Diceros bicornis minor: one gene and its partners. The protein of the gene in region 3 interacts with the protein of the main gene of each other region in a pairwise test. Links are inferred from orthologs where the notes say so. Each region holds a gene or a part of one and is shown on either strand. Other genes may lie near its edges.

Region 1 (7,857 bases), on a different chromosome or scaffold from region 3:
GAAATGAAGCCACACTCCTTTACAGCATCATTTCCACCCAGAACTCAACGGAATCTTAAAATCTAACCTGGGTTCGTATCCCTCTTTCACTATCTCTCCAGCCACCCCTTCCAAGCTCCCTGACATCTAAATGCTGGAGTGGCCCAGGGCGCATCTCTTGGATCTTTCTTTTGGCACATAGACCCAATCCTAGCCCATCTCTCATCGGACGCCCCAGTCCTCTCTCCACAATTCCAGTCACAAATATCCAGATCACAATCAACATCTCCATGTCGATGCCTGATAAACCTCCCAATACTAACACATCCAAAAGATTTTCTGCACTCCACCCACTTCCAAACCATAAATACCCTCTTATCTACTCCTCTCAAATGCCTTCCCATTTAAGTACATAAATGGCAACTCCACTCTTCCGGCTACATAGACCAAAATTTCTGAAGTCATCTTTGCCTCCTCTGTTTCTCTTATATCCCCTATCCAATCCCTCGGCAATTCTTTTGGCTTTACCTTCAACGTCCATCTAGCATCTGACATCTTATCACCCCCTGCTCCACTGCCCCCCGGGCCAAGCTGTGCCATTTCTTGCCTGTTTTACTGTGGAAGTATTACCCTTTATGGGACAACTCAGACCTGCCAGCAGCTCCCTACCTTCCTTGAAATAAAAGCTCAAGTCCTTACCATAGTGTCACAGGCCATACATGACCTGGCCTGGGATTACCTCTTAACCTCTTTTCTTCCCATCTGTCTCCCATATTTTTGCTGTTCTTTGAACACATCCTTGCTATTCCCTCCCTCACTTCTTCTGGGTATTGGGTGAGGCTCTCCCTGTTAATCCTATCTATAGTTTCACCCCGTGCGCTCCCTATTCAATTTCCAGGCCTTATTTTTCCCCACAGCCTGATTTCTATCTAATAGGGCTGCTAGATAAAATACAAGATGCCCAGTTAAATTTGAATTTCAGATAAATAACAATTTTTTTAGCATAAGTATGTCCCAAATATGGCATGGGATATACTTATCCTAAAAATTATTTGTTGTTTATCTGAAATTCCAATTTAACTGGGCATCCTATATTTCTATTTGCTAAATCTGGCGACCCTGACATCTAACAGGCTATATAGTTTACTTATTTGTTCACTGTCTATCTCTACCACGCCCTCCCCCTCAAACTTGGCCCTTAGAATGTAAGTTCAATGAAGGCAAGTATTTTTAGTCAACTTTGTCCACTGCTGGATTTCCAGTAGCTAAAAGAGTGACTACCACATAACAGATGGTCAATATTCATTGAATGAATGAAGACATGAATAAAGTGATCACACTCCCTCAGTCTGACCATCTCCAGCCTCTGAAGCGTCTTTGAATTGCTGTGGTTGTTTGAAAGTTATTTCTTAAGTTGGTCCCATTCTAATAGCCCCTGATGTTCTGAGTCATTTCTTTCAGCAGAGGCCCAGAGGTTGAACTCCTGCTGTAGGATTCAGTCCTATCAAACTGGGGAGGGAGGAGGGGGGAGCTTATCTCCTGCTGGACCCCACTGACCAGGCCCCTCCAGGAGAGGGCTCTGCTTTGGAAGCACAGATACCCAGACCAATGACTAGAAGACTCAGGGATTCTCCAGGGTTTACTAAGCTTCAAGTTGCCTGCATTTCCCTGGGGCTTTCTCTCTCTTGTAATTGCATTTTCTTCTGTCTGGCTTAGTTTTACATTTTCAGTGGGGATGAGTCATTTGTTACTTCCCTTTTGCCTTTTTACAAAACACACACCTTTTCCCCTGTGCATAATCCCTACTCCCACGCAGCGCACTGCAGCCCCACAAGCATGTCTTCTAGTTACTAACTGGCCCCTGGATGAACCTGCGGTAGGGTGGGCGGGGGTGGTTCTGGATTGTGCGGTTTATGAACATGCTGCCTATATGATACTATGGGAGAAATTCGGGCACCACAGGCTTCAGACACTGGAGAGCAGAGAAGTCCTTTCTCCACCCAACCCCACTGCGAAATCTCTTTGGAACAACATAAGCTTCTGGAAATTCCCTACGGAAAAGACAAGTCTATTGTAAATACAATTAAAGGGAAACCGCCTGGAGAAAATTTACCAAAATTGTCTCACAACTCCCAACTTTTGAATTAAAGCACACAGAAGATTCACAGAGTTCCATCTATCGTCCAGATGTACAAATGCGCCCCCGCTGTTCTGATCTGTAAAATCAAACACCTCTTAGCTCTGTGATTTAACTCTAAAATGCCACAAAACTTGCATCCAATATGCATTTGCCTCATGGAATCCCCCAACCAATGAATGGAAATGCTGCCGTCCCAAACAGAGCTTCACAGAAGCAGCTCTTTGCTCCCACGACGGGAGCAATGAGTATGAAAAGCCGCTTTTTGCGATATATTTGGCATTGCCTAGAGATACCGCACATCCTGACTGCTTACTGTGCGACAAATGTGACATCACCACGCCACTTCTTTTGCTGCTTAAGAAAATCCTGCCAGAGATAAGGCCAAACCCGAGAAATCGCAGCTCTCCACTCAGTTTTGAAAACACACCACCCCAAGAAATCATGCTTTTTCTTCGCCAGGCGCCCTGTCTCCAGCTATAAAAAGCAGCCCGCGGCGAGGGACACGCGGAACTGTAACTCCATCTTTGAATGAGTCTGTTACTTACCCTGCATCTGTCTGCTGTCTGCTGAGTAAGGGAGGCACGGCTCACATTTCTGGCTTTCATTTTCTTCCATTGTCCCTGCCTACGGCACAAGCTCCTGGCTGCTCTTTAAACTCCAGAGCGCAGTTCTGAAAGCTCCCAGAAAGCGCCTGGAAGGGGGCCCAGAGGGTGGGGAGGAGGGGACGGTGCGAAACCCCACCCCAAACTATTCTCCACTCCGGTGCAAAGTTTCGCTCGCCCGAGAAAATCGCATTCCAGCGCCGGGCCTCCCCGGCCCTCTGTGCTGCGCCCCGCGTCCGCGCGTCCGCCCGCCGGACTGGTCTGGGAGGAGTGGGGGCTGTGCTCCGAGCCCCCGCCGCCGCCCCTGCCCGGCCGGCCCCGCGCCGCGCGCTCCCGGAGGCCCCAACAGGTGATGGGCTTCCCTCCCCGGACCCAGGCTGCCTGCCGCCACCGCCGCGACCCGCCGGGACTCCGCGGCCAGGCGAGGAAGACATGTCACACAAGGTCACCCGCATGAACCTTTGCTGGAAGCCCGTTCTCTGGACTCTAATCTCAGACACAGAACGACCCTCCCCAGTAGGCTGATATCCATAGTAATAAACAACTGCCGAACGTCCCAAATTTCAGTGAAACCCCTTAAAAAAATTTAGAAAGAGTATAAGCTGAATGTTAAGCAAACACTTTCTGACACTGTTTGGAGCCTGATTAACAGACACAAAGAGGCTGTTTACTTTTGACACTATTTCGATCACTTAAGCTGGACTTTAAAAAGAGTTTGTACTCATTTGCCTACACTTCAACTCCTCCCCTTTCCCCAACACACACACACACACACACACACACACACACACACACACACACACACAACTTGATCATAGATCTGAAAAGTAAACTTAGTAAAATCGACCTTGTGAATCTCTCAAGTTAATTACTTTAAAATCTCTGAAAAGCAGTTAAAATGGTTTGCTTCGGATGGGGAGAGTTACATGCAACCTACTTATTCTCCTTTTAAACTACCTACAGATATTTATTTTGTTCTTCACCCAGTCCTTGAAAAACTGGCAAATTTCCCAGAAAGTGAGAAAAGGAGCCACAAAAAAAGGATGGGAAAATAATCTGAGCTCTGCTATTTCAGCTATCTGAAAGTAACACAATCACTGGTAGGAAGAGTGTGATATTTTAATCTGTAGTGGACCCATCATTTGAGGAGAAAAAAAGGACAATGATTTGCCTGCTGACCATACCTTGACCCAGTTTACCAGCCATTCAGGCCAAAGTTTAGATTAATTTAGATGAAGAATGTGCGCAGAACAATGCCTGGCCTATCCTCCAGATTCTGACCTTGGGTCACATGTGTGTTCTGGCAGCGTGGGAGACATATTGGCCATTTAGGACAAAGGATATAAACCAAAGGGAAAGTAGACATGCCAGGGAGTGAGCTTCTTGTGGGGAAGGGAAGAAGAGACTCCTCAGCTCCTAACAGGATTTTTCTTGAAATCCAAAAAGATGTGGAATCTCCCAGAAAGTTAAAGCCCATACCTGGCAACATGAATACAGGCAGTTGGGTTGAGAGGGCGGATAACTCAAGGTCTCCACGACTTGGCAACAGAATTATTTGGTAATCTTGCTTTAAGGAGGAACTAATTGTACACAGTTTCTGTACTGGTGGCCTGCAGGGAAATGCCAAATGAATCTTGTCTTAACCTTACTATTTCCTCAGGTACCAAATGTTCGTGAAGGACGGAATCTGTGTTCAGGCCCCCAGGTCCAGATTATCCTGGTCCTTGTACAGCTCTTGACTATTTGTCTTCAAATTACTAATGCCTAAAAGGATGGTGGTGGTAGTGGGCAGAAGTGGTGCAGGAGAGAGAGAGAGAGAGAAAGAGGGAGCTCACAAGGCAAGCACAACATTACAGCACCAGAGCGTCAGCCTAAACCAGATGTCCCTGGGGCCTGGGACTCTGGCACTCACCTGACTCGCTTTGGTGTGTGACGAGCTGCTCCTAGCAGCTCTTACCTGTCACTTGACACAGTACAGAGGCAAACTCCCCAGGATGAAGGAGCCCACAGCACACCTACAAGGGCACCAACCAATAGCACCCTGCCCTGCCCAGGGCCTTCCTCACTAGCTCAATCCAGGCAGAAAAGATCCATTTTTAGATGCAGATTACGCTTCCTGGGGCTGTTTGGAAAGCGTGAGAGCAGCTCTTCAGGGCCCTGTTGATCCCCAGATAGGCAAAATAGGGGCAGCTCTCCCACCAGTTTCGAACTCTGGTTAGTTTCCAGGCAGCCCAAGGAACCCCCTCCACCCGACTATGTGTTCACGCTGCTCGGACCCTCTCCTCCCCCATGGGCAAAGCAGACTGCAGCCTCCTCTGTGGATATTCCTCCAGGCAAAACTCTTTGTGGAATGCACAAAAGAAAAAGGCATCACCAGTGAAGAAAATTAACATAAATCATTAAGGATCATGAAATCTCGACATACATTTACGGTAATAAAACATGTTCTCTTGAATAGTTAAACTTTCTGACCATTCTATGGGGAAAAGTTTCTATTGGACTAGTTACTGGCCCTTTGTTCCTTCTCCTTGAGAAGGGGAACGGAAAACAATTTGAGAAGGCACTGTGTTAATGCCCTTGCGCTGACTCAACATCTCTCCCCAGAGCACACAGATCTTACTAAGAACTTTTTGCTGATTGTCAGTTTCTCTGAGAGGGGTCTCTGGAAAACGGTCACTGTATTCTGCAATCTGCATAAACTCAGTAACTCAGATCTTCATGAAAAATACTATCATTGTCATTGCTGTTACTGTGGAGATGTTCTTTCTGGAAGAAACGCTATTTGAACTAGAAGTACACCATGGTTTTTGGTTTAATTTAATTTGGGGGTTTAAAAATTGCTATTACAAACCAATCTGCCTACTGCCATACTTTGAAATTTGCTGTGAAAGGCATCAGGGAAGCGGGAAGAATTCGAAATGTAATTTTCCTCCAGTCATACAGAGAGCTACAATAATGATACCAGGGGGCTAAACTTTCAACTCCATTTCTGTTAACCAGGGAAGGTGCAAGACTATTCCTTGGTTAATGGCTCCATATGTTGGCAATTCATGACTCAAAACGAGCTAACACACAAAAAAGCGTCATTTAAAAGGAAAGACAAGTGATGAGATAAAAGAGAGCTGATTTTTGCAGTCAGCGCTAACCTGTTACAGAACTGGGTCGTTATTAGTTTTGATAACGCAACTTAAATGGGCGTCCGCCACGATGGCCATTAATCTGGAGAATCATAAACTATTGCGTACGACTTCTCAGCAGGCCTATTTAATTACAGGGCTGTGGAGAGCATGTCAACTTCCTTTATGTAAGTTTTTAAAGAGAAATCATTTCCAGAAGCAAGCAATAAGTGGTATGGCCCTGATATATGTTTCAATTTTCTTTTTTTGCTTTAAATCCTATTAGGAACAAGAGAGCTTAAAATGACTTGACATCAGGACACAAAAGAAATAATTACTGCTTGCTGAAGTCATAAAATGTAATTTTCAAAGGCATTGGCAACTGTGAAAATAAAACAAAACAGAATAAAATGAAAAACAACAGAAAAATGTTTCTACCGGAGACCTCATGTTTGATGTGTTACACATCGCCTTTTCTAAGGGACACGCTGCTGTGTGTCACTCTGTAACTCAGAAATAAAGGACTTTTGGGCTGGCTCCGTGGCTTAACAGTTAAGTGCTCTCGCTCCGCTACTGGCGGCCAGGCTTTGGATCCGGGCGCGCACCGACGCACCGCTTCTCCGGCCATGCTGAGGCCGCGTCCCACATACAGCAACTAGAAGGATGTGCAACTATGACATACAACTATCTACTGGGGCTTTGGGGGAAAAAAAGGGGGAGGACTGGCAATAGATGTTAGCTCAGAGTCGGTCTTCCTCAGCAAAAAGAGGAGGATTAGCATGGATGTTAGCTCAGGGCTGATCTTCCTCACACACACACACACACACACAAACACACACACACACACACACACACACAAAAGGAATAAAGGACGTTTGACAGCTGGGAAAACATGTACTTCAATGGATGATCTGGTGAATGAAATGTGGGATCTTCAATCCTTGTTTTGCCAGCAATGTGTCAGCTGGCTAGTGTGGACTTATACTTAAATATAAACCAGAGCATTTGTGATAGAGAAAGGGGACACTATTAATAATTACACGAGATGCAGAAACGATGACTGTTCCTGGCAAACCAGCACAGATGGTCACCTCTGTGTAGTCCAAGATAAACTCACGTGCACCTCAGGTTTCCAAATGCAAAATAATGCTATTGGAGTTTCCCGACAGACCTCGTAAGAGAAATTTAAGCATGAATTAAAGGTGGGAACCTCATTAGAGCAGCATTACAAGCCCCACCAACAATTTCACATCGGAAACACAAACTCCACAATATGATATTCTGTATGATTCATCCTTCAAAACAGAATTTTCCTTTCTGTGTGACCAGAAAGGAACCATTTACATATATGTGACCAGGTCACCATTTACATCTCCAGCATTCTCTACAGAGGGTAACCAATCTTCCTGATCTTACCTGCAGTCCTTAAAATCCCAGCTGCTCCAAGAGATCCTACCAGCCAAGAAGTGAGGTGGCCAAGAGCCCCCTCCACTGAAGTCTTTCTGCTCCCAAGTCTTGGAACTTTCCTCCCCTCCCCCATACAAATTCCTCATGTGGTTATAAATATAAACTACACTTCCATCCAATGTGTTAATACTTTAAGCATATTTGCTTTCATTTCAAGAGACTCCATTGATGTTGACTTTTATCGGGGTTTCTTTTATCTCTTTCAAGTTGGAAGATGCTGGAGAGCAAAGACCATGTCTGCAAAACCCTGGAGCTGGAGCTGCCATGTGTGCAGCACATCGTGGAGAAGCCATGCTCGGCTCTGCTTCCCAGTCACCGCAGAACGAGTCTGGATTCCAGGTGGCAACTTCTAAGTGAAAACTGCAACTTGCAGATGCTCACCCCTTTTATGCCAGAGTGAGCTAAACCCTGACGTGTTCTGCAGAGTTCCTAAAGGCCAGGGTGGGATCCAGGAGAATGTGAGAACTTCCACAGATACAAGCGCCCATTTGCTTCCTCAGTTTACCCAGCAGTGCTATTATGAATCCTTTCAATAGAGAGTATTTGGGAGGCC
Region 2 (7,294 bases), on a different chromosome or scaffold from region 3:
GAAGCATCGAGACGAAAAAGAACTATGAGCGCAGGGCTGGGCGGTCCGAAGATCTGGTGACCCATGTTCGCAGAGCAGAGCCCTGGCAGAATGCCAGGCTCCCGGCTCGGAGTCGGAGTCGTGGTCTCTGCCTTCCTTGCGGGAGGAAGATGACTTGGAGGAGGAGGCTCCTGGGGGCAGTCTCACTGGGAGGGGGCTGTGGTCCAAAGAACCCGGCGGAGGCTAATCCAGATATGTGGGCGGGCTCCACAGAGGAACTGGAGATGGACCAGTGTAGAGTCGAAGGGGCAGCAGCCAGATGCCCTCTTCTCCAGGCTGCTTGGCACAGAGCTGGGCACACAACCAACCCCAAGGACCAGCGGCCCGACGGGCAAGGAGGGAGAGAGACAGGCTCCACCTGCCCACCAAGCTGCTGGAGAGGTGAGACGGCGTAGGGCATCGAAGGTTGGTTCCACGGCTGAGGGGAAAGACTTTTAAGGAGATCAGCTAAGTCTGAGGGGCAAGAATCTGTGGCTTTCAGGAAGGGAAGTTGGGGAGGCAGCCAGGAAGATATCAGGAAGAAAGAGGAAGGGCGTGTGCAAGATCCTGAAGAGGAAAAGGCAGCTGAATTTAGCAGCGGGAGGGCTGTGAAGGTCAAAAGTATCAAGGACTCTCAAATAAGCCCAAGGCTGGAGACTCTACCCACCTAGGTCATGGGGTGGGGTGACGGAGTGGGGAGCATAACAGTGGAGCTGGCTCAGAACCTGGCTGTGCCACTTACTAGATGTGTGACCCTAGGAGAATTATGTGGTCTCTCTGTGCCTCACTATCTCCATCTGTAAAATGGGGAGAAATCCACCTTATAGGGTTGGGGTAAAGATTAGACAATGCATATATAAAGTGTTCAGAACAATAACGGCATGTATAAAGAACTCAAAAATTTTATTTTTCAGTGACCTCCCTCCAGTGGTGGGTGAATGCAGGGGGGGCAGGTGAGGGGGAGGGGCATCTGCCTCTCTGGGTTTAGCCCCAGGTGGTAGAGCTGCAGCCCCCTCCCCCCAGACCAGGGATATTGCAATGACTGAGGGACAGACTTGACAACCGCCCAGAGACCACTGCTGGGGAGGGCTGTCTCCCTGGGAGAGCCGGCAGAAGGTCAGGGAGGTTGGACAAGGGTTGGGACCTCCCCTGCCCACAGTCACACATCCTGGGTTTTCCAGGGCAACCCAGATTTCAAAGCCTCTGCTCCCTGGTGCCGGTGAGGACAGCAGAACTCATCACCCTATGTCCCTGAAGTCCGGTCACTGCAAATACAGGGCCCCACTCTGAGACTGCATTCTTTGCAAATGCAGGCTCTCCCTGGCCAAGGAGAGGGCTACTTTATCAAGGGCGTGCGGAATGCGCCGCAGGGGCAAAGATAGGTGTTCACCCAGGCTCAAGCGGAGGGACAGCCAGGGAAGGTGAAAGTCCAGGGGTGGCCACCACCTCCAACCTTAAGAAAGATGTGTTCGGGGTAGGGAAGACTGCAAATGCTACTTGAGAATTTAAATGCAGCTTCCTCTTTAAAATCTCCCAGAACCAGGCCCTTCACTGCGCCAGAGTTCTGCTCTAACTCACAACAGGGGGCTAAAGGAGCTGGATTCCGGCTCGCCCTCGCTGCTGGGACCCCCCAGGCTGCCGATGTCAATGGCTCAATTCCCCAGTGCCCACGAAGGCAGCGGCCCAGGCCCTCCTTCCCAACCTCGGGACTGGCCCGCCCCACCCCCGGCCCTGCGAGGGGGAAAGCGAACTGCCCAGGGGACGTACGTGGTGGGAGGGCCCGAAACTGCAGCCTTCGAGGGCGCCCTGCGGGTGCGGCGACCTCTGCCCGGGGAGGGGGCGGCGCTGACTGGCACGCGGTTCCCCGGGAGGGTCTGGCTCTCCTGGGCCAATGAAATTGCAAAGGGGGTCCCGAGGCTGCTCCGATCCCAGGGGACGTGCCGCCCCCATGCCCTGCTCCGGGCAAGGTCCTCTGGGCCGGGCCCTCCTCGCGCCCCGCAGAGGGTCTGGGCAGGGGGGTCCCGCGGGCAGGGCGGGCCCGCACGCGGCGCCCGAACGCCGGGCCGGGCGGACCGCGAGCGCCCAGCCCACCTCCAGCCCGCCCGGGCCCCCGACTCACCGGCCTGGCGGAGGCAGGATCCCGGCGTCGCCGCAGCGCCCGGGGCTCGGCCCGGCCCGGCCCGCCGGCGGGAGGCAGCTCCACGCCGCCGCCTCCTCGGCCCGCCCCGCTCCCGCCCCGCTCCCGCCCCTCCCGCACACTTTCCACAGGAAATGATTAACTCGGGCCGCGGCGCGTTCCCATGGCAACCGGCTCCGACCCCGGCGGGGGGCGGCGCGCGCGCTCCGGCACAGGCTCCCGCGCGCACTCACGCTCGCTCCCGCGCGGGGCGCCCGCTCCGCCGCCTTCCTGGTCCCCCCAGACCTTCCCCCTGGGCTCCGCGCTCCCCGCGTCCCGCCCGCGCTAGTGCACACGTGAGCGCTCACCTGCTGGTGCACGCACATCGGCGTACGTCCTCATGGCCCTTACACTAGCACACATATGTTCGCGCACAGGCTCTAGTTAGTACACACGAACGCATTCACAGTTCTCACACGCATCCCACACCAGTTCATATGTACATGCTTTTGCACTTACACTCTAATACATCCTCAGATGCTAGTGCAAAACTTTCACACTCTGGTTAGTACTCACACACACTTCTCACATGTGCTCCCTTGCCATCCTTGACACACTCACAAATTCTAGTACACGTGTTTTCTTCACATTCTAGCAACATTTTCACACATGCTCTTAGACACTAGATAATACGTGTGTACACTTTCACATGTTCTCATACACTTTACACATGCACTCACATCATACCACACTCATACTTTCACACAAATACTTCCCCATGCTCACACACATGTTCCCTCACATGCTCTAGGACACATTCGGTCACATTGCAGTATACACATTCTTTTAAATCCTAGTACACACTTTCACACGTGCTCTTACACACTCTAGTTACACACACGTACTTTTACACATTATCACACACATGCTCCCACTAGCTCTGGTAGGAATACATAGGCCGTGCTGCCTCCCCAGCCACAGCTCCACCCACAACCCCCACCTCCCCCACCAGGCAAATTTACATCTTCCAGAGCAGGCAAGCTACTTGGGATTTTTTTAAGGTAAAATATTCCTTTTAGCTCCCATGAAAACACATTCTGAGTGCAGCAGCTCCGGGAGCAGGCAGCGGCTCCCGGTGTAGCCCCGGAAGGCCCTCCTTGTAGGATGCCTTGGAAGAGGCCTCGGGGAGGCAGAGAGCCAGCCAGCCAAGGAGAGGCAGCTGACCCAGAGGAGCTACTCTGTTCTTTGTCTCCCAAACAGAGGTGGCATTTACTCCAGAGTCTGCAGCAATGTTCCCCCTCCAGGCTGTGGAAGGAGGAGAAAGAATGAAGCTTGGAGGCCAGCCCAGTGCAGGCTGATGGTTCCGCAGACAATCTGAGGAGGGTGGGCACGCTGCCCCTTCCTGATTGTCAGGGGATGGCCCAGGAGGAGCAAGGAGGGCACTGGAGGGGGCGTGCAGCTCCAGGAGGGTTCTCCCCTGCAGCTGCCCAGGCGCTGGGCTGGCGGTCAAGCATCTCAACGGGAGACAGAGCCAAGGTCCTGGGCCCAGATTGTTCTGGATGCCAGACCTGGACACTCGCAATCCCCCTACAGGAAGTGAGCTAGTGTGTGTTTTATTTTCTAACTGAGATGCTGAGTGAAGGCCCAGTAGAGGATAGATGTCACTCTCCTGGGATGGGTCCATTGAGAGTTAGAGATTTCCAGCTAAGAACCCTGGGTAACCCCGTCAATGGGAGAGAAGGCCATAATTTGAGAGTTACCTTCTCTGAGTCCCCCTGCCTGCCTCTCCAGACAGCAGTGGCCAGGGAACGGTAAGGATGGATGAGGGTGAAACTCCTCTAGAGGCCTGACCAAGTACCTCCCTTTATTATAGTCTTTGACTGGAGGGGGGGTAGCGTCTGCCTTCACAGTGCTGGTGTAACCCCTGTCTTACTCGCTGGCTGGTACATTGACACTAACTGCAGGCTCCTTCTGCCAAAGCCAGAGCCAGATTTTTAAATTAATAATAACATTTATTGTTCTTTTTCTCCGATTACAAAAGTAATAGATGTTCATTGTAACCATCATCCCACCCACTAGAGATAAATGCTGCCAACATTTCAGTACAGTCTTTTTTTTTTCTATGCACATAATAGCTACCATTTATTCTAAGCTAATACGGTGCCAGCCGCTGTGCTAAGCTCTTTAGAAACAAGATCCCATTTAACCCTGAACGCCCTATGAGGGGGGCACCATCATATCCCCAGTTTTTCAGGAGAGGAAACTGAGCCTCTGAAAGTTCATTCACAAATCTGGTGTGTGATAAAGCTGAGACTGGAACCCAATAGGTGTCTGTGTGTACGTAGATACACATACATACAGTATTCTCAGATGTATACAGCTGCAAGAGTTTATTAAGATCAAAGCGCCAGTGAAAGAAAAAGAAAATTGAGGGGCTGGCCTGGTGGCGCAAGCAGTTAAGTGCGCGCGCTCTGCTGTGGCAGCCCGGGGTTCGCCGGTTTGGATCCCGGGCGCACACGGACACACTGCTTGGCAAGCCATGCTGTGGCGGTGTCCCATATAAAGTGGAGGGAGATAGGCACAGATGTTAGCCCAGGGCCAATCTTCCTCAGCGAAAAAAGAGGAGGATTGGCAGATGTTAGCACAGGGCTGATCTCCTCACAGAAAAAAAAGAAAATTGAGGTGTTAGGAGGAGGAATTTTCGGAATTCTAGCAAAACTCTGACGAAATGGGAAAACAAATTGCTTCATGACTGTTGGAATTTAGTTTAAGAATGCACAATGTCACCAGGAAGTGCATACCAATGACTTCAAGGTCATTTTTATCCCAGGAACTTCGCTGACTGTTTCATGTGGAGGCTGCCAACTCTCCCCTGGCCACAGGGAAGGTGGAGGATTTGCCAGAAACCTGGCCATCCCACGCTGGGGTCCTGAACCCATGAGTGAGGACTCCTGGGTTCAGCCTTTGGTCTTGACCTCCTGCCCACCTTCTGGGGGAGGCAGAGCTGTCTCAGGGAGGGCCAGACAAAGCAGTGACCGGAACACTGCAGATCCGTATCCACATCCACTCGGTCCCCCAGGCGGGGGGTGGCAGCGCCATCTTTGTGTTCTAAGAGCCTGAAGCCCCTTAACTCTCAGGCATCCATCAGAAAGATAGCCACAGTCCAGGCCAAAGGAGTTCCACCCAGAAGGAAACCAAAAGAGAGGAATAACAAGCCAGATTGTGTTGAATCTGATTCTCATAGTAACCCAGAGTAAAGCACACGTAAGATGTACACGATTTTCCGGTTTTAACGATTTCACTTGAGATTCGCTCGCCTCCAGGCCTCCGCAATGCTGTTTTTCCTGCCCAGAAGTCCTCCACTTCGCCCCGCTCCCACCTGCCTCCACCCTCCTTTACCTGGCCGACTCCTCCTCCAAGTCCTTCAAGCTTAGAGGTCACCTTCCTTGACCCCCGCAGAGACCACAGTCCCCCTACTGCTCATCCCCCTGCAGCACCCCCCACACTGGATTGTAATCACCCCTCCTGTCTACACCATCAGCTCCTTGAGGGCAGGGCCCTTTCCTGACTTGATCACAGGGAAAGCCTCTGCAGTGCCTGGCGTCATGTAAGTTTTTATTGAATAAATAAATAGATCACGTATAATTCAGACAGGAAGAACAGGGTGCATGAAGCATATCCGAGCAGACCTTCTTCCCGTATAAATTCATGATCGTTCTTATCGGAAGTCAGAGAAGAATCCTTAAGGAATTATTTCAGTGTCGTCTGTAAGGAGCACCCTGCAGCTGTGACAAGTGTATATCCTTGCACGAGTCTGGGTAATAAACAGTTGAAGTTAGAAAACTTGAAGTTAGAGAACACCATTCTGGAGTTGAGTCACATATTAAGTAATCCTGACTCAATTAGCTGCTGTTTTGAATCCTCATCTTCAGATACCCCTGAAACAGTCTGTCCTGGACAGCGCAGAAAGAGCCAGGGAGCAGCCCGAGGAGGGGCTGGGGAGGGCTCTGCAGCCGGCCCTGCAAACAGGAGTGTGACTCCTCTCCAGCTGTACCCGACCTCTGGGTGTACCAGGCGGGCTGCCTCTTGGCTCACACCTGCCAGCTCTCAGGAAGCCATGCTCCCAAGTGGACATGAAGGGGTGGGGTCCTGGATGACCCTTGGCTGGACCGTACCTTCTGGTCGCTCTTGTCTGCTACAGACTGGGCTCCTACGGGCATTAGGTGCTCAATAGATTTGAACAAATGGTACCTTTCTCCCCTCTCTCCCTTTCCAGCTCCCTCTGTGCCCTCCCCATCCCTGCCCAAGGCACCTTCTTGCCAGAAGCTGTATTACCAGGGGAACAGTTCTCCCATTTCTAAAGGTCTCTGCAGGGAACCAAGGCCACCCTCCCCCCAATAAAACCACCTTGCTTTCAAATCCCTGGACAGTGACTCCCTTTCTGCATTTGCCAGGGAGGTTGGACCTAGCAGCACTTCCTGGCTCTCAGGGGAGGGGAACCTAAAACCTCTTTCTGACCTGAGGAACAATTTGGCAGAGATAGCCCCCTCTGAGCTCTCCAGGGTGGAAAGCAAACAGAGGGGTTTTTTTCCCCCTCTTTATCATTTCCTGTAGTCTAAAAAATGAGAGGAATGCAAACACTAAGGAGATGTGTACTTAAGCACCAGGTAATAAAAAGATTTAGCAAGAACGGCCGGGGAAGATAAGGCCCGCCCCCTCCCCGCCTCCCTCTGAGTCAGCTCTCCCGCCTGGGCTCCTTGGCCCAAAAGCTCCTGGCTTCCCTCCTTGCTCCTAAATCATTCCAGCTCCTTCTTCTAAGCCAAGGCATGCATTATTAACATCAATCCTGCTTCTTTTCAACTTCCCCATTCATTTTCCCCATCTGCTGCAAATTCTAGGTGGCTGTTTTTTTTTTTAACTTCAATTTTTTTTTTCCTGCATAAATGTAGGAGAAACCAAGAGAAGAAAAAGTCCCTAAATCCCGCCACCCTTAACTTATTGTCACTGGCTCGGACTTTCTTGTTGGTACTTGACCTTGAACAGATGTTATTACTATATTAAGGGGAGACAGTATAGAGCAATGGTTAACACTGGGATTAGAGGTCAGGGGGTCCTGGGTTTGAACCCTGGTTCAGTCACTTCCTCCATGCCTCAGTTTCC
Region 3 (7,656 bases):
AATATGACTTTCAATAAAAAAGAAAAAAATGTATGAGAATTGTGGGCTATATAGCTATTGACTTTCTGAAAATGAGGGTTTTGTTTTTTTTTTACAAACTAATTTTGATGGATGTGTATTCTTTCCAGGAATTTTTAACTTATTTCTTAAAATGTACGTTCATACAGCTGTAAAGCACAGAATGCTCTACTGTACAGTAAGCCTTTTTTTCCCCAAATAGTTTGGTACATTTTTAACCATTATATCCATATCCCTAAAATTGAGACCCAAGTTTATATCACTAAAACTGAAACCAACATTTCAGATGATAACACTTGCCTAAAAATGTAAAGCTTAGATTCCAGCCATTTATCTTTTGATCACATACAGAAAATTCGTTTCAAAAATACATTCAAATTATATGCACTTGGTATGAAAATTTCCTGATAGTCTTAAATCTGATTAAAACCCAGAAATGTACATAAATACTATGAAAATGTTTTGTTCTTAGTGCTGTCAAGTGGATTCGGACTCCTAGTGACCCCGTGGACAGCAGTGCAGAGCCCTGCCCAGTCTTTCTGCGCCATCCTCTCACCTTCCAGCGCTGTACTAGCCAGTGCTCTACTGCTATTCACAGGGTTTTCATGGCCAATTTTTTCAGAAGTAGGTGGCCAGGTCCTTCATCCTAGTCTGTCTTAGTCTGGAAGCTCCACTGAAACCTCTCCACTCTGGGTGACCCTGCTGGGATCTGAAATACCAATGGTGTAGCTTTCAGCATCACAGCAACATGCAGCTGCCACGGCCTGACAACCGACAGATGGGTGATATGGTTTCCCCACCTGGAAACGAACCCGGGCCTCAGCAAGCTCTGAATCTTAACCACTAGACCACCAGGGCTGGCTGTGAAAATATTAATCACTGATAATTATTTTTCTTGTTTGGGGCGAGAAGGAGAACTCAGTTAACCATGTCATTGTTTGAATAAAAACTCTGCTTGCATTTCTCCTGTAAAATCTCTAACAGAAATTTAATTGCACAAAAAGGAATTCTTTTAAAATTCATTGAAATATATGTATTCATCTATATTCATTCATTGAAATATATATTGTTGGGCCAGCCCCGTGGCTTAATGGTTAAGTGCATGCGCTCCACTACTGGCGGCCCAGGGTTCGGAACCCTGGGTGCGCACCGACGCACTGCTTCTCCGGCCACGCTGAGGCCGCGTCCCACATACAGAAACTACAGGATGTGCAACTATGACATAAAACTGTGTGCTGGGGCTTTGGGGAGAAACAGGGAAAAAAAAAAAGGAGGAGGATTGGCAATAGATGTTAGCTCAGGGCCGGTCTTCCTCAGCAAAAAGAGGAGGGTTGGCATAGATGTTAGCTCAGGGCTGATCTTCCTCACCAAAAAAAAAAAAAAAAAGAAATATATATTGTAATATACAATATATATACATATATACCCAATTTGGTATTGCCTGATAAAGCAATAGCAGCCAGAAAACTAGTTTTAAAATTCTCAAGGTGAAAAACGAAAACAGTCCAAAATATCTTCATTAAGAAGAAAGACATTCTTATTTAATAGTTTCCAAGCATTTAATGTAAAACCAGGAAAAAGAATAAATTTGTATGGATATGAAACAGCTGGAATCATTATTTAGGTGCCATAGATGCTATTTGTTCTCTAATAAATTTAAAAATGAATGAGAAAATACAGTAATATTAAATACTAATTGACACTGTTAATAAGGTTGATACTAAAGCTGGTAGGTTGATGTCATTTAAAAGAGAGACTGAAAATTTTGGGACAAAGAGTTAGTGATGAAAACAATGATTATAGTCAATTAGCATGTCAATGGTGTGCAGGAAAAATCTGAGGAGAATGTCTGGAGTGAATGGGTATGTCTTCTAGATGTTGTAAGAAGAGCTATGTAAACAGTTCAGTTGAGCAACGTTTATTTCTTTTGAGCCCATACTATCAGGCATTGTATTATGTTCCTTACCTTAATTTCCTCATTTAAGGATCGAGTTACTAGGATGATATACATCAGGGGAATTCCACAGACATAGTGCATCTTTATTTCAGCAGAAGAATTTGACACTTTCTCACGAGTCGTGTCACTATGATGATGGAATATTGGATAAGGGTGAGTTCTTTAAGGTACATTCACAGGTGGCCAAATTTAAGGTATATTGATAGTGGCTCTGAATGACTGAGGCGTTTAGTGCAAGCCATCAGGCTGTCTTCTTGGCCTTGATTTGTTCAGCATTCTTATTAAAGGCTATGGTGAACCCCACAGTCTTGCTTATCACATCTGTAGATGATGTGAAGCAAGATTATTTATTTTCAAGGATTCAAATTTGAGACAAAGCCAAGGTATAACATATTGGAAATAAATATAAACAACTGCAATTAGATTTAAAAAAAAAATCAACTGTACTTGGCATGACTGGGTTAATATGTAAAAAATCTAAGAGTTTTTAATGCTTACTTTGAATCAAGCTGATGATAAAATTGCTAAAAAAAATGTTATCTTGGGCTGCATTAATAAAAGTATTCTCTGTGATTTTGGGAGATAGTCTCACTGGACTCAGAAAAATAATCCATGTTAATTTTAGAAAAATTAAGATGAACAAAAAACCCCCCTACAATCCCACCCCTCGGATAATACATATACACACGATATAGGTACTTTTATAGATCTTGTAGTTGTTTCCTTTTTGCTTAAATTATGTTGGTGGCAGCACAAGTGTATATCTATGTCCTTGGAGCCTTAGATTCTGCTTAGTGTTAAAAGCTCTCTTGGTGGAGATTCCCAGCTGCCAGAACTTGGAATCACAGACCATCAAAGCCAGAAGGGCCGTTTCAGCCGCATCACCGCGGAACTTGTTAGAAATATAAATTAGAAATATAAATTGGGCCAGACCAACTGAATCAGAAACTCTCGGGGTGGGGGTCTAGCAATCCCGTTTTAACAAGCCCTACAGGTGATTCCAGTCCACACTGAAGTTGCAGAACAACGGACCTGAGCTTAACCCTTTGATTTTTCAGATAAGGAAACTAAGATCCAAAGAGGTTGTCACAAATTAATTTGAGAAAGTACTAGAATCTTCAAGCAGTGATTCCTAAAATGAGGAATGATCCCTCAGAGAGATTTGTTTATTGGGTTAATGCTAAGCAGTATTTGAAAGAATGCTAGGTGGGATAAGTGTAATGGGGGAAGAGTCTGTCTACCATTTAACACACCTGGTGGGTTGCTTACAGTTCAACAGTAGCCTTTTGATCCATTGAAATTTAATCTGAGAGAAAAGTTTGCTTGGTCTAGTATGTTTTATTCATTTGATTTTCATCCGTGTCTTATTCCCTGAAGCAGGTTTATGTGCCGCTTAAGTAACTACCCCATTCCATCACTACTCTCTCATCAATCTCTAGAGTGGGATCCCGCGGCTTTCATTTTTAACAAGCTTCTCACACTTAAATCTGAGAACCACTAATACAGAAGATATTTAAAGTGGTTAAGAATAAAACTAGTTGGACTGGACCAACATCTTCAATATCCTTTAATTTGAGTGTCACAGTGAAAACTCAATTTGCTAATGTGTATATCATAGAGCCAATATAATAACATCAGAGATTGCTCCAGAAAATTAAAATGATTTTTTTTGAGAAACTATAATATCGTTTCCTCATCATCTGGAGGAAAAAAAAAAAAAAAAAAAGAGGTGAAAAAATCCCTGTAGGAAGGCCAAGAAATCACAAAAGCAAGAACAAGAGTTGAAATAATGGATCTTGTTCTCAACTACAAATGTAGTCAACCTTGCCTTTCCGCAGTACAAGTAAAGGTCACGGACTTGATAATATCTCAGCAGTTGTCAGGCATTTTAGTTTTTAAGATTACATTGTGTGGAGTAGTCAGATTTAGGACGAAAAGATACAGTATCCGGAGAGTAAGAACAGAATAATAACTCCGCAAGATCGAAATGATCTACCTTGAATTTCTGTAGCATTGAAGGTTTTTCCAGGTGCTTTCACATAAACTTTTATTTTATCCATGTAACAGCCCTGTGAAGAAGGAAATTAGTACCGGCAAAACCGTTTCCGAAACTTGAAACACTGAATGCACGAGGACAACAGACAGCGAAGTCGACGGCGGCAGGGGAGTGACGGGAAGGCTGCGGGCGAGGACGGGAACCGCGGCTGGGCAGGCACGCAAGGCTGAGGTCCAGGGACGGCGGACAGGAACAGAACAGAGGCTTCAGTGGGCACACACGGGAGGAGCCCTGGGATTATCTGCACCACAGAGGATGGAGGAGGTCAAGGATGAAGCGAAAAACGGAAAGCGAGGCGGCACTTCAAGCCGCATGGCAGCTCTGCGGCCCGAGATTATCCGTCAGGCCGCTGACCGCGGGGCGGCGGCAGCGGCGGGGGCGGCGCGCTGCGCCGGACTAACAAAGGCCGCCGGGGGCCTCGCGAGCCACGCAACCGCGGGGCCCGAAGGGTTAACGGCGCGCCTCCCGGCCCGCTCCCGCCGTCGCTAGGAGACGCCGGAAGTGGGGGGGGCGGGCGGCGCGGGTGGGAATCTTTTTCGGGCGCTCGGGGGCGGAGGGAGGGAGCGCGCGTGCGCGCGCCAGGCCGGCCGTCGCCGCGGTGACCGTCCTCGAGTCGGCCGGCTCGCGCCCCGCCCCCGGCCCCGCCGCCCCCTCCCCTGCCGCGCGCGGGGGCTGCTCCTCGCTCCTCCCGCGTTGCCGCCGCCGCCGCCGCCCCCCCCCTCCTCTCCCGGCCTTGGGTTTCCCTGGCGCCGCCGCCGCTCCCTCTGCGGTCCGCCTGAGGAGGAGGAGGATGTGAAGATGGCGGAGCTGCAGATGCTGCTGGAGGAGGAGATCCCCGGGGGCCGCCGGGCCCTCTTCGACAGTTACACGAACCTGGAGCGGGTGGCCGACTACTGCGAGAACAACTACATCCAGGTGCGACGCCGCCCGGCCGGTGCGCGGGCGCGGGGGCAGCGGGCGCGGGGACGCGGGGACGCGGGGACGCGGGCCGGGCCGGGGGCAGGCGCGGACGGGGGCTGTGGAGGGGCGCGGATCCGGCGCTCGGAGCGGCCTGGCCTCGGCGCCCGTTTAGCCGCCGGCATCGGTCCTCGGTCCTCGGTGCGGAGTGCTGTGTCCCGCCCCCGCTCGGCGGCGGGGCAGGCAGAGGGCGGCGTTCCGGGTGACAGAACCCTGCCCGGCCGACGGCGGCGGCGCGGGGCGGACGGCGCCCTCCCCCGAGCTCCGGAGGGCTTTTGAGGGGCTGTGTTGCTGCAAAGTAGCGTGCCTCCGTTTTCTGTTCGTGTGAAAGCCGCAAGAGACCGGTTTTTGCGTGTTTGTTTTTAGGATCTAACCGGGGATGCGGTAGAAGAGCAGTTGTCTCCTAGTGGAAGTTATTGCCATTTTTTTTCCCTGTGGAGAATGAGAAGCTGCATGATAATGGGCTGGGTCCCCCCCCATCCCGTTAGAATAGGTAATTTTCCTGTGGGAAAAAGAATAAAGAATTGTCACTATTTTTCAGAGAGAATTAGGAAATGATGCTCAGGGTTTAATTTTTCCCTTGATGGTTGGTTTGGCACAGGGACTTATAGTGGTAGGTGTGTGTGTGTGTGTGTGTGTGTGTGTGTGTGTGGAGGCGGGAGATGTTGGGTGAGACGAGATCCAGCTGCGCCTGGATGGAGCAAAAGATTGTGGCTTAAAAAAATTCTTCAAAAATTATTTGAAAGGGTAGGTTAAAACGCACAGTTTGCAAATTCAGCATCTTTTGTTTTCTTTATCGCTTATTGTGAATCATAGGTTCTACCTCCATTTTTTTCCCTTCCCATTTAAATTCTCTCGGGATAAAGGTGGCAGTGGAAGTACGTTAAGTTGTTTCTTCACTGTTGTCTTTTTTCCTGCTCCCACATCCGTCTTCCAGGCATCTTTGTTAACATCAGCTGTGTTGGGAAGCATTCTGAAGTCTCAGTGTAAGCTTAAAAAAAAAGGTGTTAAAATTTCTCGTAGATTTATAAATTTTGTAAGGACCACGTGGTTAATCAAAGATGGTATTGTGTGAAATTTTACTAGATTAGACATATACTGAACTCTGTATTCTCTTGTAGGGAATATTTGTATTGGAGAATGAACAAGACATAATACAGGGCTTTTCCCTCCAAAGAGGCTGTTGAAAGTATGGCCAGTAGGAAAAGAAAGAATGTGTCGTGTGTCAAAGATTATTGCAAAAAATGTAATTGTCCATATTTGTGGGGTGCTTTGCTGATATTGAGTGGGATAGGAAAGATTCAAAGGTTCAGTTGCTCAATTTTCCACTAAAGGTATTTGAAAGTCTTCTGTGGCCTGGCGCTGTGTCAAAAGTTGATGATACACACCTAGTGTGTACAGAATTTCATATTGTAGTTAGTAGGAGAGGCTGATCTGTGAGCACATGGATACCATATAGTGTGTCAGTTTATACTCTGTAATGGACTACAGGTGTGAAGAAAGCCTGGCGGAAGCTGTGCTGTCCCCAGGGAATTCAGTCTCTAGGAGAAGCAAATCTGTAGGACTGAAGTGGTCATTCCATTGCCTCCTGCAGCATAGTATGGGAAAGAAGTATAGGTCAGAAGACAGACTCAGGGTGGAAGAGTGGTTGGGTTGCAGTTATTACCAAAAGAGAAACAGATTTGTCTCTCTTTGGAAGAGAATTTTTATTGTAATTTGAAGGTATAGTTCTCTTAGATTATGATTGTACGTAAAGGTGAAAGTACATGGATTAATAATGCTGAGAGGTTAAAAGGATCAGCGTTTGTCATCTTTTTATATATTTAATACATTTCTTCCAGTTGAGAAGAACGTTACTGCCATCATTGTCTGTCATAGCAGTGGGACTCAAAATTTAGTGTGGTGGCATTTTAAAATTAAAAGTATAAATTTGATTAGTAGAAATAGATTCGGATTTAAAAATATTTCTTCAGGGCCGGCCCCGTGGGTTAGCGGTTAAGTGCTCGCGCTCTGCTGCTGGCGGCCCGGGTTCGGATCCCGGGCGCACACCGATGCAACGCTTCTCCGGCCATGTTGAGGCCGCGTCCCACATACAGCAACTGGAAGGATGTGCAGCTATGACATACAACTATCTACTGGGGCTTTGGGGGAAAAAATAAATAAAATTAAAAATATTTCTTCAGTATAGCATCTAAAATAGATTTTACACTTTCGCCTCTTAGATTATCACCTGTTTTAGGATCCAGTGGGTATATTATTGGTGTTTTCTTCCCAGATAACAGCTCTTACATGATTTGTTTGTGGTAAGTTGCTAAATAGAACATGGTGATAGTGGATTTGTGCTGACCCAGCTGCACATTTGACTGCCCCTCCTTGTGACCAAAGAACTGACCAGCAGGGGTTTTGATGCTGCCTGTGACCCTGCAATAGATGAAAGTTAATTGGTGGGATCAGTGATCAGATGGTCAGTTTAGCCTTATTATAGCATCATGCCCTAACCACTAGCTCAAGTTAGCTGACCCAACACTCATTTTACTTTGTGGAAATGTAATTTTTGCTTGTAAAGCAGAAAAAAGAAAAATCTGTGAATTCGTGTGTAACAAATGGTAAGGTCCTTTGCTCAGTATTCTTAAATAGCTGGTTTTATGCATAGGAATATCCAAAAATT
Region 4 (6,924 bases), on a different chromosome or scaffold from region 3:
TTTGACCCAGCAAATCTACTTTTCATTCACTGCAGCAATGTCTGGAATGGCAAACAGCTTAAATGGCCATTAATGAGGAGAGGATTAAATAAACTACAGTACAGTACATACTGCATAAGAGATTGTGTGGGAGTCAAGAAGAACCAGGTAGATAGATCCCTATGTTCCACCATGGAAAGATCTCAGACATTCTGTTACAAAAAAAGTTGTAGAACAATGTGTATGGTGTCATGTCATTAATGTGGGGGGTGGGAGGAAACCCTGTTTTCTGTATTACCTATATATAGATGAAAACGCATAGAGAAAGGGCTGGGAATATCACAACAAAGTGATAACCACAGTTTCAGGGGGGAGAAGGGAGTAGGCCGAGGGGGCTTTTATACTGTCTGTACTGTTGGAGTATTTTATAAGAAAGTGTGCACTCACGAGCCATGTGCCGAGCTGCAGTACACAGCCACACAGACTATGCACCACACAATCCCAGGAGCTGCCATTCGCAGGGACTCTGCTGTGAATGGCACCCTTACAGCTGGGCAGTACACATCCTGCACAACTAGACGCCACAGCCCTGATGCTTGTCTAACTAGAAATAAACAAAATGAGGGAGGGGGGACTGAAAACCAGCATGAGGGAACTTTCTGGGGTGATGTAAATTTCTACATCCTGATTGAGATAATGGTTACACAGTACATACATTTTTCAAAACTCATCCAACTGTACACGGGACATCTGTACATTTTATGATATGTAAACTATACATCAATAAAGTTGATAAATTCAACACACAAATAAATAAAAAACAATATCCTTGGGAGAATCTTGAACAAGGCACCCAAAATTACAGGATCTAGGCACCCCAAAACAAGAACTGGTAGACACCTGCTGGTTGCACTCTGAAGTACACAGTCCTAAAACTAATGAGAAATTAACTTAGTTCTCCAAGGCTTACTACACAATGCCAAATTTGGATTAATATTACCTTTATTTTTTACATGAGGAAACAAAGGCCTTGAGAGATTTCTATTAGACATAAAATAAATGGTAACTTGGCATTCTATTGGTTCTAATTTTCCAGCTCAGTAGAAATTTTGTCTCTCACACATAGGGGACACTCAAAAACCTTGCCAGCACTACTCTGACTACATAACCCCCTTCAAAGGTAATTCCACTGATGTATGATAAAAATCCTCACAGAACTCATAAAAGGTCAAGTTTTAATTTGGCAGACAAAGTAACCCAACAGGCAGTGCAAGCCAGGGCACTGAAACAGCAGCCTGGAGCTGTCGAGTCCCAAAATCCAACCAAGGCAGAGAAGTGGTAGATTCCAGCCCTCACAGAAGAGCAGACACACATTCTCTTACTACAGACCTAAGATCCAAGAACCACAATAAAAATGAAAAAAAAAAGTTCTCTAGACAAAACTACCCTTCTTCCTCAGTGGCAGAAAAGAGAAGGGCCAGAATGGGATGACTGGCGATGAAGGGCCCAAGGAGTAAGCTCCTGACAGCCCACAGGCAATAAATATGTGAAAGCAGCAGCGCGGCCACAAGGAATCATGACTCCCTTACCTTAGCCATTGCTTTAAATGCCAGCACCTAAGAACGTGGGTTACCTTACACCACCAAAAATAAAAAAGAGAGAACTTCAGGCACAGGGGAAGTCCATCAGCCATCTCTAACACCAGAGTTATTAATACTCTGTAAATACAGAGTAAACCTTGCTCTGTAAAATACAGCAAAACCTTGCTTAATTCATTCATTCATGCAATAAATATTTATTGCCTGACTGCTGTGGGCCAGGCACTGTACTTGTCACTGAGGATTTAGCTGTGAATAGCCATGGAGCTTAATTCTAGCTGAGAAGGGAATTTTTCTCTTTCTAAATTTCTTTTTCCCTTCTCCCCCTTTAAATGTTACACAGAACAGCCTTCAAAACTGTCCCAAATTTCTCCCGCAAGCTTCTTTGACTCTCTTGCTTTATCCCCAAACCAAGCAATTTATGGCCCCAATTTCCCAGCACCGGGAAAAGATGAACGAGACCTAAAGTGAATAAGGTACGAGACAAAATTCAATGCTGCTTTGTATTTTATACGCATACCTTCACAACCAAAACGTCAGCACCTAAAGAGCAAATTATGGCGTGTTCTACACTATTTTATGGCCCCAGTGCTGACCACGATTCTCCACCCACCGTAGCTAATCAATAAATTTACTAAGAATGCTGGAAGGTCTTCCTAATCGCAAGAAGGCCTGGCACAGGAATTTAACAGCAAGCATTCGTCAGCTGCATCCTCTGTCCTCTCAGGCCACTTTCCTTCCAAGGGTGACCTCGGTGCACAGGTTCACTGTTAGGCGCCTCGGGAAAGAGTGTTTTGGGGTGATCTGAAATAAATTCCCTTCCTCTGCCAGGGCCTGCCTGCCTCACCTGCCCTCTGCCAGGACCTGCCTCCTTCAGCACCTAACGCAGAGCCTCCTCCCAGCGAGCCCGGCTCCAGCAGCATCAGCCCGGTGCCCGCACCTCGGCTCCGCGCGCCGCAGCCACAGCTCGCCCGGGACCCCAGAGACCCCTCCCCGGCCCGGGGCTCGGAGCCCGGCGGCGCCGGCCCGGGACTCCGCTCCATCCCCTCCGCTCGCCCCTCCAGGGCCGGGCGCGCGGCGCCGTCTCCCCTCGCAGCGCGCGCGGTGCAGTGGCCCCGGCTCCCCGCGCGCCGTTCCCGCCGCTCTCGGCCCCGCACCCCCGCAGGCTCCCGAGGTCCGGCCGCTGCGCTGGCTCCTTCCCGCTCCTCGCGGGCGCGAGGCTCCAGCACCGCGCTCCTCTCCCGCAGCCCGCGGCCGCTACCGCGGACCCCCCACCTTACTCACTTCCCGGCCGGAGCTGGGGGCGTCCAGAAGGTCTCCAGCGGCCGCAGCCTCCTCCGCCTATTCCGGCCCGGACCCCACAGCTGAGGCGACGGCAGCGCCCGCTCAGGCCCCGGAGCCGCCCCCGCGGCGAACGTTCCCAGGCGCCCGGCACGCGCAGCGAGCCCGCCCCCGGCGCGAGGGCGCGAGGGCGCGAGGGCGCGAGGGCGCAGGGTGGGGGGCGGGGGGCGGGCGCGCGCCGCCAGCACGAGCGCGCGGCTGGGGGCGGGGCTTCCGCCGCGCCGAGGAGGGGGCGGGCAAGCGGGCCGAGTTCCCTTCGAGCCCCGCCCCTGCGGCCGGGCGGGACCCGCCCCCCCGTCTCGCCCGCGGGTTCCGGGTCGGCGCGGGAAACGTGCCTCCTGGGGGTTTTCCTGCACGCTGGCGGCGGGCGGCGGAGGTGCGTTTCAGATCCACAGGTATTTGCTCGGCCAGCTGGGTGCTCGGCCCGACGTGAGTACAAGGTAAAGAATGCAAAGAACCAACCATATGAATCATTCATCTTCGCCTCGAGCACGAGATCCTGCCCTGAGTGTTTTTTCCAAATTAATTCAACTCAGCAAGTGTTTACTGAGCACCGACTGAGCGCCTCGCGGTGTACCAGGTGCTGTGTGGCTGCACAGTCACGGTCACGGTCCTTGGTCTCGAGGAGCGCATAACTTAGTGGAAAGGCAGCCATGTAAACAACCAGGTCTGGTGACCCGTGCAAAGCCAAGCCACAGGAAGATGCTGTGGGAGCGCAGAGGAGGAAGCGATTACTTCCGCTTGGACGATGCGGAGGGGTTCTTGGAAGAGGTGGCATTTGGATTCAGCCTCAAGGAAAAAAAAGAAAGTCCTAGGAGAAAAAAGGGAAGGCATCAAAATAGCTTGGACAAAGGACAGAGGGTGACCAAGGTTTACCATCTCAGCATCAGTTTTTTTTGTTTTAATATTATCCATTTTTTTAAGTTTTTAATTAATTTTTTTATTGCGGTAACATTTGTTTATAACATTGTATAAATTTCAGGTGTACATCCTTATATTTCTATTTTTGCATAGATTACATCATGTTCACCACCCAAATACTAATTACAATCCATCACCCCACACACGTGCCTAATCACCCCATTAACCCTCCTCCCTCCCCTCCTCCCCTCTGGTAACCACCAATCCAATCTCTGCCTCTGTGTGTTTGTTGTTGTTTTTATCTTCTACTTATGAGTGAGATCATATGGTATTTGACCTTGTCCCTCTGACTTATTTCACTTAGCATAATACCCTCAATGTCCATCCGTGTTATCACAAATGGCTGGATAGAATCCTTTCCAAACTGTGTGAAACATAGAAGATGATGCCAAATTAGGAAGAGCTACTTTTTTTTTTAATGGCTCAAAGAATCATTTTTCTCAACATTATTTAAGGCTCAAACCAGCAGTGTCCTTTAAGAACTATTGGTTGTGAATGAAGGATGTAAGTTCCTAAGCTAAGTGACCCCAAACCAGTATGCTTTGTGCCTGATTTTTTAGTGCTTTTTGGCACCTTATGGTAAGGCAGACCGTGCCACCTCCTGCTGCTGCCTGCCTGCCTGCCTTTAGAACATCCTCTTCCTTCTCCTCTCATCTTCCTATTTTTAAAAAATAACTCCTATGGTGAAGGAAATGCTGGTAACCAACTTTAAGTGAGACTAAATAGGTTCCTCAAAAAAAGATAACCTTTCACACATGAATTTTGTGACTATTTTGCATCCTTAAAAGACTTTTTCACTGGTATACAGGGTCTTGACTATGTCTGAATATGTTAAGATACTCAGAATATAGGTGAGACATCTTGTTTATTCCTTTACCACTCATTGAGCACCAACTGTGTGGGAGGCACTGAGAGGGTAAAACATTGATCTTGTCCTTTGGAGAAAAGATGTGAAAATAGTGTAAAATAAATATGTAAATATTGCTTGCTATATTTGCCCTATTGATTGAAACCAAGGTAATTTCAATATGTGAGCTAGATTCTCATAAACCATTCTGGGAACTAACTAAGCACACTTCTATTAGCATCTCTCCATCTTGGTTCTGGATTTCATCACCTTTCGCATCTTCAGAAAACTTCTTTCAAACGTATTTCAATCATTCTCCCCCTCTCACTCCCAAAATTACCAACCCCTCTTACCCATTGTCCTTTGCCTTCACCATCTATTCATGTTCAAGCTTTTCCTGTCCTAAAGAAAAAGGAAGAAACCCCTCTGTCACTCTAGATTCTGCACTAGTTACTATGCCCTGTCTGTATTTTCCTTTACGAATGCCTTGAAAGTAGCCTACTCACTTCTACCTCTTGAGCAGCTTCTCACTCCTCAACTCATGACTGTGTAGCATCTGTCCCCACCACATCACTGCACTGCTCTCAGTCATTAATGGCTTGCTTAACCCTAAGTGCCACAGGCCATTTGTGAGTCCTCATGTTACTAGAGCTCTTGGTCGCATGTGACAACACAGAGCACTCTACTCTTTCTGAAGCTCCATTGGCCTTCACGACATGATGCATCTCCTAACCCCTCTGACCACTCCTCAGTCTCCAGGGTTCTGTTCTCAACTTTCATTTCACCCCACACATTCTCCCTGAACCGTTTCATCCACTCCCTGTCTTCGTCTGCCACATTTATCAGCAATCCCAAATGTGCTATCTAGCTCAGACCACCCATCTGAGTTCCATATACTCAAAAGCCTACCAGATGTCTCACCTGGATGTCCTAGAGACACCTCAAGCTCTACGTGTCTGAAACTCTTTAGCATTACTGTCCATTTGGTTGCCAGAATCCCAGGGGTCATCCTTGATTCTTTCCTCCCCATCCCCACTACACTCAACAATCCTGTTGATTCTCCTCATAAATAACTCTAGAATCTGTCGCTCTTAGCCCCTCTCACATAGACCAAAGCAATAGCCTTTTATCTTGTCTCCCTCTTGTAGTCTTGTTCCTTCCAATCCGTATTCCATCCTGCACGTCAGAAAAACTTTCAAAGCTTTGCTGCCCAGGATGTCACTGCTCAGCATGGCAAACAAGACTTTCCATTTATCTAGACCTTGCCTATCTTTTCACTTCATCTCTTGTCGCTTCCTACACACACCCCATCCAAACCCCTAGAATGTTCCTACTTTCTCTTGGCTCCGTACCTTTATGCTGTTTCTCTCTCTGTTTGGAATGTCATTTGATTGAATACAAGCAAAGAATGTCCAACATATGTGTAGCTGAAGTTCCACGTATAATGAAACTATAATCCAAGAAACTTTCTGGAAATAAGAAAATGTAAACCTACATAATGAAAAGGCCCACATGTACTTGAGGAAATGACCACAGAATGATCAATTCTGAAAGCTAACATCTTAAAACTATTACACAAAAATAATAATAATAACCTTCAAGACCTCAATGCAAAAAGTTCAAATCGTTTAAAAGGGTAAGAAAATTAGGTTGTAGTACATTAAAGATGGCTGCAAATTCTTTATCACTTCTTTTGATCCAGACTGGCCTAAATGAATTGCTTGACCAATAGAATTTGTGATGTTATGGGACTTCCAAGCCTAGGTCATAAGAAGTCTTGAAGAGTCCACCTGCGTCTTTAGGAACACTTGCTCTTGCTCGCTCTTGAAGCCCTGAGCCACCGTATATAATATCTAACTCCCTGTGGAGAGGTTCTGAGACTACATGGAGAGGAAGAGAGGCCTAGCTGATCCTAGCTGATGTGAGTGAAGTCATCATGAATGCTCTATATCAGTCCAGCCATCAGCTGAATACCACTGAGTGGCCCCAGCTGAAGCCACGTGGAACAGAAGAATCGCCCAGCCACACCCTACCCAAATTCCTGACCCCAGAGATTGTTATTATTAAAATGGTTCTTACTTTAAGCCATTCCTTTTCAGGGTAGGTAGTTTGTTATGGAGTCCGGTAACCAAAATATTTGGCGTCAGATTTCTCAGGAGCAACATACAAAGCAAGGCAATAGTGATGCAGTGTTTTGACATTTTCTAAAAACTCAAGGAAAGAAGATGCAAGCTAAGT

What was found.
Region 1: the proteins of ABI2 (region 3) and KIAA1217 interact in binary tests that used the Homo sapiens proteins (3 or more experiments, as listed by UniProt). The link is inferred for Diceros bicornis minor from reciprocal best matches to the Homo sapiens genes ABI2 and KIAA1217.
Region 2: the proteins of ABI2 (region 3) and KIFC3 interact in binary tests that used the Homo sapiens proteins (3 or more experiments, as listed by UniProt). The link is inferred for Diceros bicornis minor from reciprocal best matches to the Homo sapiens genes ABI2 and KIFC3.
Region 4: the proteins of ABI2 (region 3) and DTNB interact in binary tests that used the Homo sapiens proteins (3 or more experiments, as listed by UniProt). The link is inferred for Diceros bicornis minor from reciprocal best matches to the Homo sapiens genes ABI2 and DTNB.

What each region holds. Positions count from the first base shown.
Region 1 is NC_080775.1:23,534,636-23,542,492, reverse strand, and holds the start of KIAA1217 (sickle tail protein homolog), read right to left. Parts: upstream 3,005-7,857; 5' UTR 2,735-3,004; coding exon 2,665-2,734; intron 1-2,664. UniProt on the Homo sapiens protein: Required for normal development of intervertebral disks.
Region 2 is NC_080771.1:11,205,507-11,212,800, forward strand, and holds the start of KIFC3 (kinesin-like protein KIFC3), read right to left. Parts: upstream 3,012-7,294; 5' UTR 2,521-3,011; coding exon 2,503-2,520; intron 2,206-2,502; exon of another isoform or gene 2,138-2,205; intron 1-2,137. UniProt on the Homo sapiens protein: Minus-end microtubule-dependent motor protein. Involved in apically targeted transport. Required for zonula adherens maintenance.
Region 3 is NC_080749.1:80,842,666-80,850,321, forward strand, and holds the start of ABI2 (abl interactor 2), read left to right. Parts: upstream 1-4,652; 5' UTR 4,653-4,829; coding exon 4,830-4,946; intron 4,947-7,656. UniProt on the Homo sapiens protein: Regulator of actin cytoskeleton dynamics underlying cell motility and adhesion. Functions as a component of the WAVE complex, which activates actin nucleating machinery Arp2/3 to drive lamellipodia formation.
Region 4 is NC_080751.1:56,957,298-56,964,221, reverse strand, and holds the start of DTNB (dystrobrevin beta), read right to left. Parts: upstream 3,011-6,924; 5' UTR 2,862-3,010; intron 1-2,861.